Notamacropus eugenii: one gene and its partner. The protein of the gene in region 2 purifies or fractionates together with the protein of the main gene of each other region. This does not show direct contact. Links are inferred from orthologs where the notes say so. Each region holds a gene or a part of one and is shown on either strand. Other genes may lie near its edges.

Region 1 (7,822 bases), on a different chromosome or scaffold from region 2:
AAAAAAAGATGCATATTAATTTTTTTCTTCTCATTTGTTTCAGTGTTGTAGCTAAAAGTCCATAACAGGCAGAAAATTAAAAATTTGTTTTAGATGCTTGCCGCAGTAGACACGTGTGGTTAGATGCATCTCCAGTTTATCATTGTTTTTGCCAGATTTTGTTTTATCTTTTGGCTATTTTTTGGTTGTTGTTTTGAACTCTTTACTTTTGAGTCACTGAAGGTGACATTTGTGTTTCTTGTAGGTAAATCCGTCCAATCATAGACTTCTGTTTGAAGTATTTGATGAAAACAGATTGGTAAGTTTCGACCGTCAACTCTCCACCATCCCTCTCCTCAAACGATGATCTTAATGTGAAAATTGCATCTTTTTTTTTTGGTGGTATACAAAAGTAAATTTGAATAATGTGTATATATGTATTTAGAATTTTTTTTTAATTGTTGGTTCTGGATCTCTGATTTTATCAGTGCAGAAAGTTGCCTGACATAGAAACTTCATCCACCAAAGCCAACGGTCAATTCATCTGTAATTTATAATCTTAAATAATTGTTTGGCTCACCGAAAGATTAAGTGACTTGTCTGCATCGTACAGATAGTATGTGCAGAGAAAAGACTTGGACCTAGATCACTCTGAATCTCAATGCATGCAACTTTCAATGACACTTTGTCTAGCCATCTACATTCATGTTAACATGTATGGTATGGGTCAGAGTAGTTTATGTAATAATATCCAGATATTTAAAAAATTTTAAATATTCCTCATCTATATTTGTGCTAATTATGTGGTAATGGCGCAGGAGAAGATTAAGGATATTTGTGTATGTGTGTGTTTTTTTCTCCCAGTAAGTAAAAATAAAACCCATTAATGCTCACATAAACTCTTTACGTGCTGAGATTTGGTACACAGAATGGTGATATAATTGTGTAAGGATTATTCATTATACGTAAACTAACTTTGTGGAATCCCAAAGTATACTTGTCCACATGGCTTTTCTTTGGGTAGTGTAGTTCAAGATATATCTAACAACTTGAAAAGAGGGATGGATTGTCCTAGGAGAGAAAAAAAAATTCATGACAGTTTTTAAAAAGTGTTTTTTTGTTGTTCAGTGGTTTTTTAGTCATGTCCAACTCTTTGTGACCCCATTTGGCATTACCTTGGCAGAGATACTGGAGTGCTTCGCCATTTCCTTCTCCAGCTCATTTTACAAACTAAAATAAACAGGGTTAAGTGACTTGCCCACAGTTGCACAGCTAATAAGCATCTGAGGCCAGGTTTGAACTCAGGAAGGTGAGTCTTTCCGGACTCCATCGCACCGCCTACCTGCCCCCAAAAGATGGTTAGTTGTCTTCAAAGTATAGAAGGAAAATTTCTATCTGGAATGCTTAATTAAAATAGTCTACAGATAAACATTAGGAAAAAAATGCAAAAAGAGGATCAGCTTTTCAATTTGAGATTTTGTTTCTTCATTTTGCTTAAATGAGGAAAATATATTATACAGCTAAGCAGACCCTTTATTAAAAGGGGAAAAAAAGATCATTATTACGTCTGTATCATCTATAGCAATCTCCACAATCATATAGCAGAAAAATCAGTTTACCAGGATTCAAATCTAACCACAGCAACTAACCAACTGTATGACCTTGGGCAAACTACTCAACCCAGGGTGGGGAGCCTGTGGCCTTAAGGCCACATGTGACCGTCTAAGTACTTGGGTGTGGCTTTTTGACCGAGTCCAAGTTTTACAGAACAAATCCTTTTATTAAGGAAATTTCTTCTGTGAAGTTTGGATTCAGTCAGAGGGCTGCACTTGAGGACCTAGAGGGCCACATGCGACCTTGAGGCCCCACGTTCTCCACCTCCAATGTCCTAACCTCTCTCTGCTTCAACTTCCTTATCTGGAAACTGGGGATAATAACAGCACCCACTTCCCAGGGATGTTATAAGGACAGAATGAGATAGTATTTGTTAAACATTTGGTAAACCTCAAAGAAGGCACTATAAAATGCTGCTGCTACCATTGGAACTGCTACTACTGCTGCTGCTACTACTACTACTCTTACCTACCACTACTACTACCACTACAACTGCTGCTAATTACTCCTCCTCCTCATCTTATTACTACTATTCTATCTTCCCCTCTTTCTCTACTCACTGTCCCCAAAATGTAGGTTCTTATTGTTTAGTACTTTCTTATGATTTTCAAACCAGAATAAAGTTTTACAGATTGATCCAGACAGAAGCAACTTTCTGTCCACCCATTCCCCTCCCCTGTTTGACAGATGAAGAAATAGAGTTGGTGACCACCAAGTTGGCAAAGGGTTTTGTCTCAGGTCACGCTGCTTTTTAGTCAAAGACAGAGGCAGTATTTAAGCCTAAGTCTTCTAGTTCTTGGGGGCAGTATTTCTTGACCATGCTGTTTTCTTGTATTTAAATTGATATGCACCTGCCCTGTCATTTTGACAATCAAATAATGTTCATTTTGTCTTCTTCAGTGATTAACGTTATTCCAGAAATCATCTCAGACAAGTTAGACTTTCTCATGTCTCTCAGGAGCTTTTAAAATATATATGGGTCCAGCGTTAGTGAATGTACCGTTTTACCTCCAAAACATTAGGAACTAGGAAATCTATAAAAACATTATATATAGTCATATAGCATATAAATAATGCTAATATTTTTATTGTCAGTGATCTAAATTCTGTTATTTATATACGCTTATTCTTAGAAATGGATGGGGGTTTATTTTGGAATGGGGGGTTGCTGTTTTCTGTGCTTTATTTGCACATAGGGAGGAAAAGTTAGATGGAAGAGACTGTATTAAATAGTGCCTTAAGAGAAGACAGAACCAACTTTAGTATACTAGATCTTGATAATTAAATGAGACGTAATACCTAGAAAGGAAATAAAGGATTTTTTTTTGGTTGAAATTAATTTTGCATTTAACATACAGTTTCTAGTCCAGAAGATTTCACTATGAAAATAAAAGAATTTCCCTTATTTCTTTATTTAACTATGCTACCTTTAAGATATTTTTTGTGTTCTGTCTCTTGCCCCTCAGGCATTCCTTGTTAGAAGGGTCTAAAATGCATAAGACGTGCTTGCCAAAGCACTGCTGCAGAAAGAATGCTTTTTCTGAAAATTATGTTTAATAATACTAACACCTGGGTTTGCACCAAGCTGTCTGCAGCACTGTTACTGTGTGACGAATAGCTGTGTTCTTTCTTGTTGGCGCGGAGGCCTGTTAAAGACAATATGGGATTGTGCTGGTGCTTGGCAGTTTTAGTGTTGAACAAGCCAGATTCCATTTTTTTCATAATTGGTCATCTTGGCATTTGGAAACATGCTGCTAGAAAACAGATTTGGATGTCTAAACATGGTGTTGGACTCCCCCCCAGCCCAAACCCACCCCCCTACACTATACCCATGATTCCAGATCTGTCGTCAAAACTATACTTTGGGATTTTAATAGAACCTTGTCTAGACCTTTTATTTGGGTTATATTCCTTTCCTACTCCAGGTCAACCTATACAATTGCTATTTCTGGTCTGTGAGAAAGAATTAACATGAAAGACAATCATAAATAATTCTTTTTAGAAGTGTTGTTTGGAGTGAATGAAATTGATGACTTTCTATGAATTTTAAAACCTTTCTATTTTGTGAAGCATTTTGGCTCTTAACAAGCATAAGAATATCCCATATGGGCATCCAAATTGCATTAATTTGGGGCAACATTGCCTCTGCATGGTATCTGTATGAAATTAATACAAATCTGTATATATATACCAACCTTTTTGGATTTTCTTCAGTCATTCCTACCTGGCATGTATGAGGGACGATATTTTCTCAAGCTGCGTTTTTATTGCTCTTTTACTTTCCTCTGGTGAGAATTCTCTTTGTAACCTTTTTTTTCCTATTGGTAGCTGTTAAAGAAAATGTTTCAGGGTAGTGGCAAGATTCATAGTATTAACTCCAGCAGTGTTTTAAATTGTCTCCCATCCCCCACATAGATATTTTCTTCCTTGTAGATCATAGTCTAATTATTTAGCGTTAAAGGGAGCTACTTCTGGGCAGTGTGTAATTATATTTATAGTATGTTTTTACTAGTTTGCATTCCACCATAGTAGTCTGTTGATGTCATACATAGCCCGGCAAAACAAACAAACAAACAAAAGGTGCTGCTTGTGAAAATCTGAGACCTATTTCTACTTTCTAAGTTGGTCTTTCTGAGGAGGTGGTGGGGATGTGGGAAGATGTGGGGTTGTTTTTTAATGGAAGGCACTTTGTGTTTTGGGAGAGTGTGCTGTGTGTGTGCGCGTGTGTGTGTGCGTGCGTGTGCGTGTGCGTGTGTATGTGTGGAAGCGTGCGCGCGCGTGTTGCTTAGTTCAGAAGTGCCCTGTGAATATGATGTGATTTAGATTAATAGTAGCCCTGAGAGTGTTTGCTGCTGTAGTCAGCTGTGAGAGCTCGCCCGCTGGGGCAATGCCTTTCTGATGGAAAAAGAGCAGCTGGGAAGGTGCTGTTTCAGGCTCTTACTGTTTAAAAGAGAGGGAGAGGGAGAGGGAGAGGGAGAAAAAAAAAAAAAAAAACCAGCCCAAGTCCAGAAGCTGGCATTGGAGAGGGAGAACAAGGTCATGTGGCTCTAACCATCCTACCCTCTGTCCCAGTGTGCAGAAGCTCCGATTCCTCTTATCCAATCATGCCTGGAATGCAGCTTGCCACTTGGGTTATTTCTGCTATCTGTCGCTATCGTTGGTGCAGTGCTAACAGTTTGGCAGATGGGACAATTTTTCTTGGAGTTTATGTCTTTGATTTTTAACTTCTGGCAGTGCTTGAATTGTTGTCTCCCTTCCTTTCCTGCCCTCCTGTTAAACCATGGCCCATCGGCTGCGGTTTCATTTTGGCTCTGGTCGAAGCAACACAGCCCCTGAATCAGAGATCCTAGATCGAGAGAGAGAAGACGACTTTTTTATGGCATTCCACACTTTGCCAAGGAGAAACAGTCCTCACCCATTCTCTCAAAATGGAGCAGAGTATGGTGGCGGTAGCCTACAAGAAGTTGGATCTCTCAAACGAAGCACATCCATGTTTATCCCTCAGCTGCTGAATAACATTGATGCCCGTCCAACAAGGAGCTCATCTGTGCAAATCTCCCTGCAGCGCAAAGCTGTGAACGGACATACTGATGAGTGCGGGGCACCAGATTCTCTTGATGAGGACCTTCCCTATAAATTTTCAGACCTTAGGGAGAATTTTACTGCACCAGTAAGTAGACCTTCTTCATCCCAAAGCAGCTCCCAAGAAACTTCAGAAAGAGAATCCCCCAGTAATTCTCCACCAAGGTTGGTCAATGATTTAGGACAACAGGTCAATGGATCTAATAATACTTGCAGTCACAGAGTGTTTTGTACTGTTCCTTCAGATAACCAAGGTGATGCTGTCCCCTCAGTTGCCCAGGGTGTAGAAGGCAATGAAAATGCTTCAGGTTCCAACATAACTGGAGTGAGAATTCAGCATCGTGCTTCGAGCGCAGATATGCGTCAGGTTAGACTCTTGCCCTTTGGATCAGAGGTTCAGAACAACCCTTCTGCTCCTGAGCCCAGGCGTTGGTCTTTGCAACATGTGCCAGATGTATCTGCTAGTTCTGGGAAAAGGTGTTTTGTTTTCCAGTTGCAACAACCCCAAGCAAGCACTCCAAGCCTTGGTGGTGATTTCAATTTTGGATTTACTGGAACAAAGGGGGACAGGTTGGTCAGGTATCCAAGAATAAGGCTAGAGAGGAGTACCTCCTATCCAGTCCAACCTCGACCTGAACGAGTCAGCCCAATGGAAGACAGGGTGAATTCAGAACCTCCTAACAATGGGAGGAATTGTCCTGAAATACAAAGGAGTAACTCCATAGAAAGGATTCCACAGAATAAGGGCTGCACTTTTAAGATCAGGCAAGATCAGAATTCCCGACAACAACACTTTAGAATTCTTGTTACTCGTGGTCATGAAGAACCTCACCAGACTCTTGAAGAGAATAGTTCAGACACACCTGCTTCTACTGCAGCAAACACTCTGGTAAGTTGGCCATCGAATGTGCCATGTTCCTATTTGAACATTAGACAAAAATAATGGGTTCAAATTGGGAATTTTTTTTTTTTTGTATTACAGCTAAAAGAAACTTTCTTCTATAACATTTGAAATTTTCCTATTCAAAGAACCTGGTTACCTATAATTTCTAACCTCAAGTCATGTTGCTCTTATGTTCTTGATATGTATCTGTGGGTCCAGTACTTGGTTGGAATCATAACGTTATAATAAGACTGACTGATGTTTTGCAAGAAAATACTTACCAGTTAAAAAGTTTTGTTCCTTATAAATCTTCAAAGGCCCTTAGCTGACTTTATGTTTGAAGCAAATATAGCCATGTTCTCAATTTGGTGAAATATAATGATTTCCCTTTGTCAGTGCTCAAAAAGCAAGTCCATTCTCACTTCATCCCTCCCACCCCAAAATAAACTTAAGCCAAAAATCAAACCTAGCCAAAGAACACGTGCTAATGTTGGAAAATCCATAAGGAACCTATTTGCAGGTTCATCCTGTGCTGGGCCTTTTTATCAAAAGTAATCTGTGCTTGAAAGTGTTAGGAAATAGGGAAATAATGACGTAGTTTGTCTTAACTAATTAAAATGTTTACATTAATACATGTCCCAAAGTTCTTTTCTGCTGTGTTAGGAGTCAGTCTAGTTCAGATACTTTTGTCTGCTTTGATTAATTAAGAAGTGTACTCCACATGAATAGTGATGCAGTACATGTGATATGTTACTTATTTTTGAAGCGAAATAACTTTTTGGACCAAGCATGGGTAAAACTTTTATGGGGAATCATTAATTCTCAGGTTGCATTACAGTGCAATTTAACACTGCCCACTTGAGACTCCAGGCTCAGTGATGCTGTATATAGCATAGTAAGTGCCCTATCTCCAGCTGTGAAAACAGACTCACTCTCACAGACTCTGGTCTTTGCTGCTTGTGTGTGTTCCTCTTCTCCTAGGCTCTCCCTTTCAGTGAAATGTAGCACAGAAAGACAGCTGCTTACTTCACCCAGCCATATGATGACTCTGCAGCTCTCATACTTTCTATCTGGCTGAGCAAGTGATATGGAAACTTGAATCAGATTGATTTCTTTTGTTTATAACCACTAGATTTAAGTGCTTTCTAAAAGAATTCATTCCCTGTGTTTTCCATTATTGTTAGTATTATTTTGTCTTGGAGCATCATGTAGCATCCTTACTTTACTAAAAAGCTTATGTTTCTGATGGTATGTATGTGTGTATATATGTATGTACGCACATAACACTGTATATATATACATGTATGTATACCCATGTACACACATATGTGTATACATATGCATGCAGATATATATATATGTTTTGCACTGTTTTGCTCTATAGGTGATGCTTACTTTCTATTTTATGTGGGAGTTGTGATGATCTGTAACATTAGCTTCATAAATAATTATTAGACTGGTTGATATCCCAGCTCTACTACTAAGTTCACTATGCCACTTTTTCAAGGGTGCAGTAAATGCTTTCTCCTGGATGACTTTATTCAACTCCCCATCTTTGCTCTTTTCTCTCTCAGTCCACCCCACTCCCTTCCTTTTTTACATATCTTTAACCCCTTTCCAGTAAACAGCTGTGGGTTTCATCATTGCTTTAGCCTAAGGCTATCCCTCATAAAGTAGTAGAATAATCCCACAGAAAGGGTTAGGAGGCTGCTGACATTTTAGAAGTATTATCCCCAGATATGAATGTGTCAGTGTGAGTTCAAA
Region 2 (7,408 bases):
TCCATAGTTCTTTCTCTGGATGTGGATAGCATTTTCCATTACGACTCTTTTGGAATTGTCTTAGATCACAGCATTGTTCAGATGAGTTAAGTCTTACAAAGTGGGTCACTGAGTAATGTGGCTGTTACTGTGTACAGTGTTCTCCTGGTTCTGTCCACTTCAATCAGCATTAGTTTGTGTAAGTCTTTCCAGGTTTTTTCTTAAATCTGCCTGCTCACCATTTCTTATGAAACAATAATATTCCCTCACAATCACATATCACAGCTTGTTCAGTCATTCCCCAATTGATGGGCATCCCCTCCATTTCCAATTCTTGGTCACCACAAAAAGAGTTGCTATAAATATTTTGGTATGTGTGGGTCCTTTCCAGATTCCCTTTGACTTGAGATTCCTGCTGGGAATGCCCCCCTCCTTCCCCTGGAGTCAGAACCACACTGCTGCTCTCTCAATCCACTTCCTAGGGCCTAGCATTACTTCTTAGCACACAGCAGAGGGTCACCTCTGGGTGTTGATCTCCTCCTCAGTCTACCTGTATCTGTAGGCTGGAATGGACAGTGGGTGACCTGTTTGTGCTCCAGGGTTACCCATGACCACTCTTGGCCAGATCTGACCCCCTGTGACTGAAGCCCTCTGTCCCCCAGCACCAATCTAGGTTGGACAAGTGGCTTCCTGTGACTTGTCCTTAGATTTCATCATCAGAATTGTGTCTGACCCTTCCTTCCTAGGGTAACGGTGGTTGAGACTCTTCTTCACTCAGCCTCAGTGTCCTCATCAGTTGATCAGTTGATGAGGAAAAGAGTTGAGCTTCCTACTTCACAAAGGGATTGTCATGAGATGGATTTGTGAACTGTCAGGAGAAAAGGGAATTGTCTATGAAGACAGAACACCTGTATTCTAATGCTGCCTCTTCTCTTAATCCCTATGGAAGCTGGGGCAAGTCACTTGGCCCTTCTGGGCCTCATTTTTCCTGTCTCTAAAATGGGACAGTTGGCCTCAAAGGTCTCCAAGGTCTTTGACTTTATGATTAACATTAATGAGTTATGGGGTGGGGGTGGGGGTTATTAGTTGTAGAGTGGCCAGCTGCAACTAGCAGAGTCAGAATTCCTCAGGCCTCCTGGGTACTCCTTCCCAGGCCAAGCATTCCCACTACTCAGTTCCTTGAGCATCTGGAGGACGATGGAAAGAGGCAGAGGCAGGAAAGGGCAGAGATTAGGTACAAATCAAGTCCTAACAGTTAGGGTTCCCAGAGGACCAGGTCAGGCTTCATGTACCTTTGAGAGTTCTGCGCATGAAGGGTCTGCTCCTCCAGAGGGAGTCCCAAACACAGCCTCCAGCCTGTGATCGAAGCCAAGAAGGCAAAGGGTCATTCATTGTTCCAAGCTCTCTCATTAATCGTTTCCTTTCCAATCACCTGCTTCCCAGATAGGTTGTTTGTTGGATATCTCTCTGCTCTACATTTCTCACAGCAAACATCCTCCCGAGCCTCACACTTGGGCCCTAGGGAGCTGGGAAATGCTATAGCCTGGAGATGAGGACGTCAGGGTTTGCAAATGGTAGGTCCATGGCAGTGTCCACTTGGGTGTGATTCATAGAATGTCCAAACAGAGAGGAGAAACCAGAACTTAGAATGGGATAACTGGGAGGGACCTTGGAGATCTCTGCCCACACACCTATCAGGCAGCGTGAGGGTCCTTCCAGATGGAGAGACTCTGGTGTTTTCCAGGGAAATCTAGTTTCTAGAATAGTCATCACAGTGAGCCTTTCTTCTGCTGTTCCAGAGTTCCACGATGTTGTTTCATTTGCTTCCTATAACACGTCTTTATTTGGAGTGGTAGAGGAGTATTGCCTTCACTTTACAAAGGTGTAAAGTGAGATCTAGAAAGGTAAAGTACCTGTATTTCCTCAGTGATTAACAAACTCCCTCCTGGTCATGCCCGAGAATGAAGGATGAACAATCCCCACCACCCTATCACAATGATTTTGATCCCATAGCTGTCATCATTCAAACCCATTTGAATGTCTCCTGAGATGGATCCTCCTTGGGATCATGCTCTTTATCCATAGGTGCCCCCATGGCTCTGTCTAGGGCCCTCTTCTCTTTTCCCTCTATTCTCCCTCCTTCACTTGGCGATCTCATCAGGCAATCATTGTCATTTAGTTACCATCTTTATGATAACTCTCAAATCAACTTATCCAGCCTCTTTCCTGACCCTTTTTCCATCTCCAGGTACCTACTGGTCATCTTGATCTGGATGTCTTGTAGATGTCTTCAGCTCAACATGTCCAAAACTGACCTCATGTTCTTTCCCCCCATCCTCTCCTTTCTGAGCTTACTGACCCACATCTTGGGATGGGGGATAGGAAGAGGCAGTACCTGGGCTGAGCCTTGAGAGAAGCTAGGGATTAAAAAATCTTTATCATATTTTGACCGATGCCTTTGTTTTTTACATCTCATTCATTTCTGAATATATCTCTTCCCTCTCTCCTACACAATGACCTTCTTTTGTAATCAATACTTTTTAAAAGGGAAATAGGTTCAGATGTTGTGGTCAACATTTTTCTTACAGGACCTGGGTTCAAATCCCCACTTGAGATACATACATCCTTAGTGACTTTGGGTAAGTCATTTGATATCCCTGGTCCTCAGTTTCCCCCTCTGTAAAATGAAGGAGTTTAACTTAATGGAACTTCATTCTGGCTTCACATGTATAAGTCCATGACCTGAAGAGAACTTTTTCTTCTGTGTATTCCAGGCACAGTTCTCTATGTGACACCCCCCACTTTCTCCATGTAACTTCAGGTCTTTGAGGAGGCCTGTCCACTCTCCAAATGGACTCCTATCCCAAGCTCCTACAGATCCATCCTTTGGCACCCCCAGCGTCCAAACATAGGCATTTGGATGGTAAAATGCCAGTGTCACAGGGAGGGGTGACTTTGGAAACTTTTCCCTCCCCCACAAATATTTGTGGCACCAACTCACTCCACCAGAGGGTTGAGGGCACAAAGAGGGGTTCTGAGCTCCTCCTACCCCACAGGGCCTGAGGGGTTTGTGATTTAGTTGGGAGCACCAGCAGGAGGCCTGCTCAGAAACTGAACCTAATACTAAGCCCCAAGGGATAGTGGAGTGGGACAGGTGCACCCAGGACAGATGCCACCAGAGGGCTTCCAGTAGGAAGGTCTAGGGAGAGCCAAAGACCTGAGCACACGTCTATGTGAGGGCAGGACTTCTGGGTCAGGGGACCTTGGGAGTCTGTGGGTAGAAAAGAGCCAGGAAGATAAGAGGGGAGGGCAGAGCAGAGATGCTCATTTCCAGTCAAGGCTCATCTGACTCAAGGGGCCCTCTAGTCTCTTATGGGGCATCTGCAAGAGCCCAAATTTAAACCCCTGCTCTTGGGCCCTGCTGCCTCCCCATCTCCTGAATAAAAGTGGGGTGTGAAATGTCCCTTCCAGGGCACTGATTTTGGAGGGAGACAGCCTGGTTTCAAACCCCGCCTTGGACACTTATTACTTGTGTGATGTAGGCCCCAGTTTCCTCTCGAACTAGCCTCTGAGGTTCTTTCCAGCCCTAAGCCTGTGATCCTCGATAGGACTAAAGCCAGGCCAGAAGGGAGGTAGACCTGGGCCCCAAGACCCTAAGAATACTCCCTCTGACCTTCTTTCTCCCTTCCCTCTTTGGGGGCTAAGTGGGATCGAAGCCGGAGGCTCGGAGGGAAAGGGACCGGGGCTAGGGCCTGCTTGGCCTGTGGCTGAAGACCACCAAGGAGGGAGCGGTGCTTGGGAAGAGCCAGTTCGGGGGCTGGCGCCTACTGGGGAAGGCTGGGCCTCCCGAAGGTCGAGATGGCCCCCAGGTTGGAGAGAGGCGGGTTCTTGATTTCTGTCACCCAGCCTCTGTAGATGCTTCCCACCTGCTGCCGCAACCAGTCGAAAGATCGGGGACCGGGCTTCTCACCGCCCCTGGGAGGGAACTGGGGGTCCGAGCAAAGAGGCTTGAGGGACTCAGGGGAGCCCATGGGTGGGGGCAAGGAGGCCAGGGGCCCACGAAGCAGGTGTCGCTGTTTGTGTGGGTACGTGTGCCCAGTGAGTGGGTAGGGGAGAGGGGCTTTGAGGATGGGGATTAAGGGTACCCGGGGAGGGCAGGGCAGGGTTCCAGGGGGCGCCCTTGGGCTACGGCTCGGGTCCCCCTCGGCGGGCTTGGGGAGGGGCGGGACAGGGAGCTGGGGGTGTATGGGTTACGGGCTCTTGGGTGAGAAGGGGCGGGGGAGGCAGCCCGAGCCCCGCCCCGGGCGGCGGGCATGGGCAGCTCCCGCCTCCCTGGCTCGGTCGGTGCCTCCCCTCGGGAGTGGGAGCCCAGTCTCCAGGGCAGCGGCCGTGGCGGCAGCGCTTGGCGCGGGGAGCTGGGAGCGCCGCTCTCCTTCCTACCTCCGTCCGTGCCCTCCGAGCCGCCGCCGTCCAGTGTCCCGCGGCTCCCGGGCCAGCCCCATGGCGTCCTCGGCCGGGTCCCCACCGCAGGCTGAGCGGCGGCGCTGGGGCTGGGGCCGTCGGGCCAGCGGGCCCCTGGGGCTCAGCCTCAGCCCCAAGGCTGCCTTCCCCTCGGAGCTGGCCGAGGTGACCCCGGCGGCCGGCGCGCTCTACGCGCCCATCCCTCCCCCGGCCGCAGCGCCCCCGGCCCCGCCGTCGTCCCGGGGCCCCCCGGCCCCGCCGTCGCTGTCACCGTCGCCATCACCGCCTGCCACGGTCAACCTGGACCCGCGCATGTCCGTCTACAGCGTGTGGCGCCCTCTGCTCGCCCGCAGCCACGTCCAGGGACGCGTCTACAATTTCCTCGAGAGACCCACGGGCTGGAAATGCTTTCTCTACCACTTTACTGTGTAAGTGTCTGCGCCGCGCCCTCTGCGTCCAGCCCCGACCGGGGACTGTCCCCAGGGACCGCTACCCTGGCCAGGCTCCTTCCTCACACCGCTGCCCACCGTGTGGGACCCTGGCAGCTGGGCTGTAGGCCTTTAGCCAGCGGTAACCCTCCCCCCACCCCCGCCTAGGGGGCGAAGCTGGCCAGCTCCAGAGGGCCCAGCACCTGCGGCCCACTGCTGGGCTGCCAGCCTCCTGGTGAGGGGCTATGAGGAGGGAGGGGAGCTCAAACTGGAGCCCCAGCTGGGTGAGCTTTCCCTGCTGTCCTGGAGCTAGTTCCCCAGCAGCCAGTCTGCCCAGGATGCCTTTACAAATGGCCAGGGAATAGTGGTTCTTGAAGGGGGTGGGGGTGGGACTGAAGAGAAGGAAGGGCTCTGATTGGACTGGTGTTGTCTCCCAGTCCCGTTTTGGGGTCTTGGACCTTCCTCTCTCTCTTTCAGTTTCCTGAAAAGTGGTCGTGGCCTTGACTAAGGACAGGGGAGAGGGAATTGGGCCTGGTTTCATTTGGGAGGGCAAGGAGTGAGCTGCCTGTCCATCCATTCACCTACCCATCCATCTAATCCTCCATTCTCTCCCTCCTGGTGGTGGTGTCCATTCCCTGACCCCTTGCTGGCCAGAGCAATCTTTTTTTCCTTATTGTCTGTTCTTGGGATTCTAAGGATATTCTGAGTATAGGTGAAAAGCCCAAGCCCCAGAGACACCTGCTCAGTAGGGAGAACAGAAAGCTCCCACTGAAATCACTTCAGGCAAATTCTCAGGAACATTACTCCCAGAGAGGGGCAGGGTTTCCTTGGAGAAGAAAACTGGGAGTAGAAAGGTTTCCAATGAAAGAGGAATCCATTTTCCTGTCAAGAGAGACTGCTGGCCAACCCACTGCTGTACCTACACCATAGTACTGAAGGGGTTTCTGTTCAGCACAGGTTGACTAAGCCCCTACTAGGTGCAAAGCCCTGGCTTGGGCTGGGGAGAGGTGAACAAAGCAACTCCGGCCTCCGGGGGGTTACTGAGTAAAAGCAAGAAAGGGGGTGAGCAAGATCAATGAACAAGCATTTATCAAGTGCCTACTGTATTCCAGGCACCATGCTAACACAAAACTGCCAAACAGTTCTGTTCTCAAGGAGCTTCTACTCAACTGGGAGAGACAAGAGATATAATTGGACCCTGGCAGATAAATATGGAGGAAGTGGAGGGTCACCTGAGAAAGGATAACCCTAGCAGCTAGGGTCTTCATGAAGGAGGTGGCACTTAGACAGATTCTCAAAAGAAGCCAGGGATTGTAGGAGGCAGAGTCAATAGGGAGAGCATTCCAGGCCTAGGGAACAGCCCAGACAAAGCTATGGAGAGAGTGGGTCAGCGCCGGTGAGGGGCCAGCCTGTCTTGATCATTGGTGTGGAGAAGGGAGAAAGGAAGGGGCCAGGTTGTAAAGGGCTTTGAATGGCATATAGAGTATTTTATATTGATTCTGGAGGTAATAGGGAGCCACTGGGAGTTCTTGAGAGTCTTCACATCATGTGGCTAGGTCTACACTTTAGAATTATCCCATTGACACCTGTGTTTGAGTTGGAAGGGTATTGCCATAGTCCAGGTAAGAGGGGACAAGGTGACCCTGTGAGTGGACAGAACAGGATGGATGTGAGAGATATTGTGGAGAAGGAAATTATAAGATTTGTCAGCAGAGCGAATAGGTAGGGATGAGAAAGAAGAGTCAAGAATGGCTGTGTGGTTGTGAAGCTGGTTGACTGGGAGGATGGCAGTGCCCTTGAGAGTGATGGTGAAATTTGATAGAGGGAAGGGTTGGGGGGAGAAGGTAATAAACTCAGTTTTGGATATGTTGATTTTGAGATAAGATGTCCCAGGGCAGTGGGTGATGAGGAACTCAGGAGAAAGGCAGGGTCTGCGGTATTCGTTTGTTGAGCAGGGAATTATTGATCACCTGGGATCTTATGAGCTCAGCCAAGAGGGAGAGAAGAGGGTCCAGGACAGATCCTGGGAGCACCCAGGGCTAGTGGGAGCAACCTGGAGGAAGATCCACCGAGAATCTAGTGGGTAACGTTGCTATGTGACATTCCATTCAGATTTGCAAAGCTTTTGACAAAGAACTCTGTGAATTTCATCCCCACTAGAGAAGATGAGGAAATTGCTGCTCAGAAAGGTTGAGGGACTGCCCGAAGTTACCTCCAGTTAAGTGTGAAAGGCAGGTTTGAACCCACACCCTTGACTCCAAGTTCAGCACAATGAGAAGTCAAATGAAGCAGCTGCCCTTTCTGCAGGGACTTACAGTCTTTTGGGGGGTCTTTGAGAAAGACACAGAGAAGTGCAAGAAAGAACACTTGCTACTCTCAGGAGGCTTCAGTCTGGGGGACATGAAAGATGGGCACTGAGACCACAAGCCCATCTAGGCTGGCCGCAAGATAGAATGTGCTGGTGAGACAAGCATCAATTCCAATGAGAGAAGGTGAGAGAGAGCCCCTTCCCAGCTGCGATGGGGTATGGCGGGGAGAAG

What was found. The genes of interacting proteins can lie anywhere in the genome.
Region 1: the proteins of KCNQ1 (region 2) and NEDD4L purify together in Homo sapiens (affinity purification with western blotting, with the first as the bait; 3 studies listed by BioGRID). This does not show direct contact. The link is inferred for Notamacropus eugenii from reciprocal best matches to the Homo sapiens genes KCNQ1 and NEDD4L.

Annotation. Positions count from the first base shown.
Region 1 is NC_092875.1:431,905,955-431,913,776, reverse strand, and holds the start of NEDD4L (E3 ubiquitin-protein ligase NEDD4-like), read left to right. Parts: upstream 1-4,779; 5' UTR 4,780-4,873; coding exon 4,874-6,064; intron 6,065-7,822. UniProt on the Homo sapiens protein: E3 ubiquitin-protein ligase that mediates the polyubiquitination of lysine and cysteine residues on target proteins and is thereby implicated in the regulation of various signaling pathways including autophagy, innate immunity or DNA repair.
Region 2 is NC_092873.1:25,399,562-25,406,969, reverse strand, and holds the start of KCNQ1 (potassium voltage-gated channel subfamily KQT member 1), read left to right. Parts: upstream 1-4,366; 5' UTR 4,367-4,479; coding exon 4,480-4,868; intron 4,869-7,408. UniProt on the Homo sapiens protein: Pore-forming subunit of the voltage-gated potassium (Kv) channel involved in the regulation of cardiomyocyte excitability and important in normal development and functions of myocardium, inner ear, stomach and colon.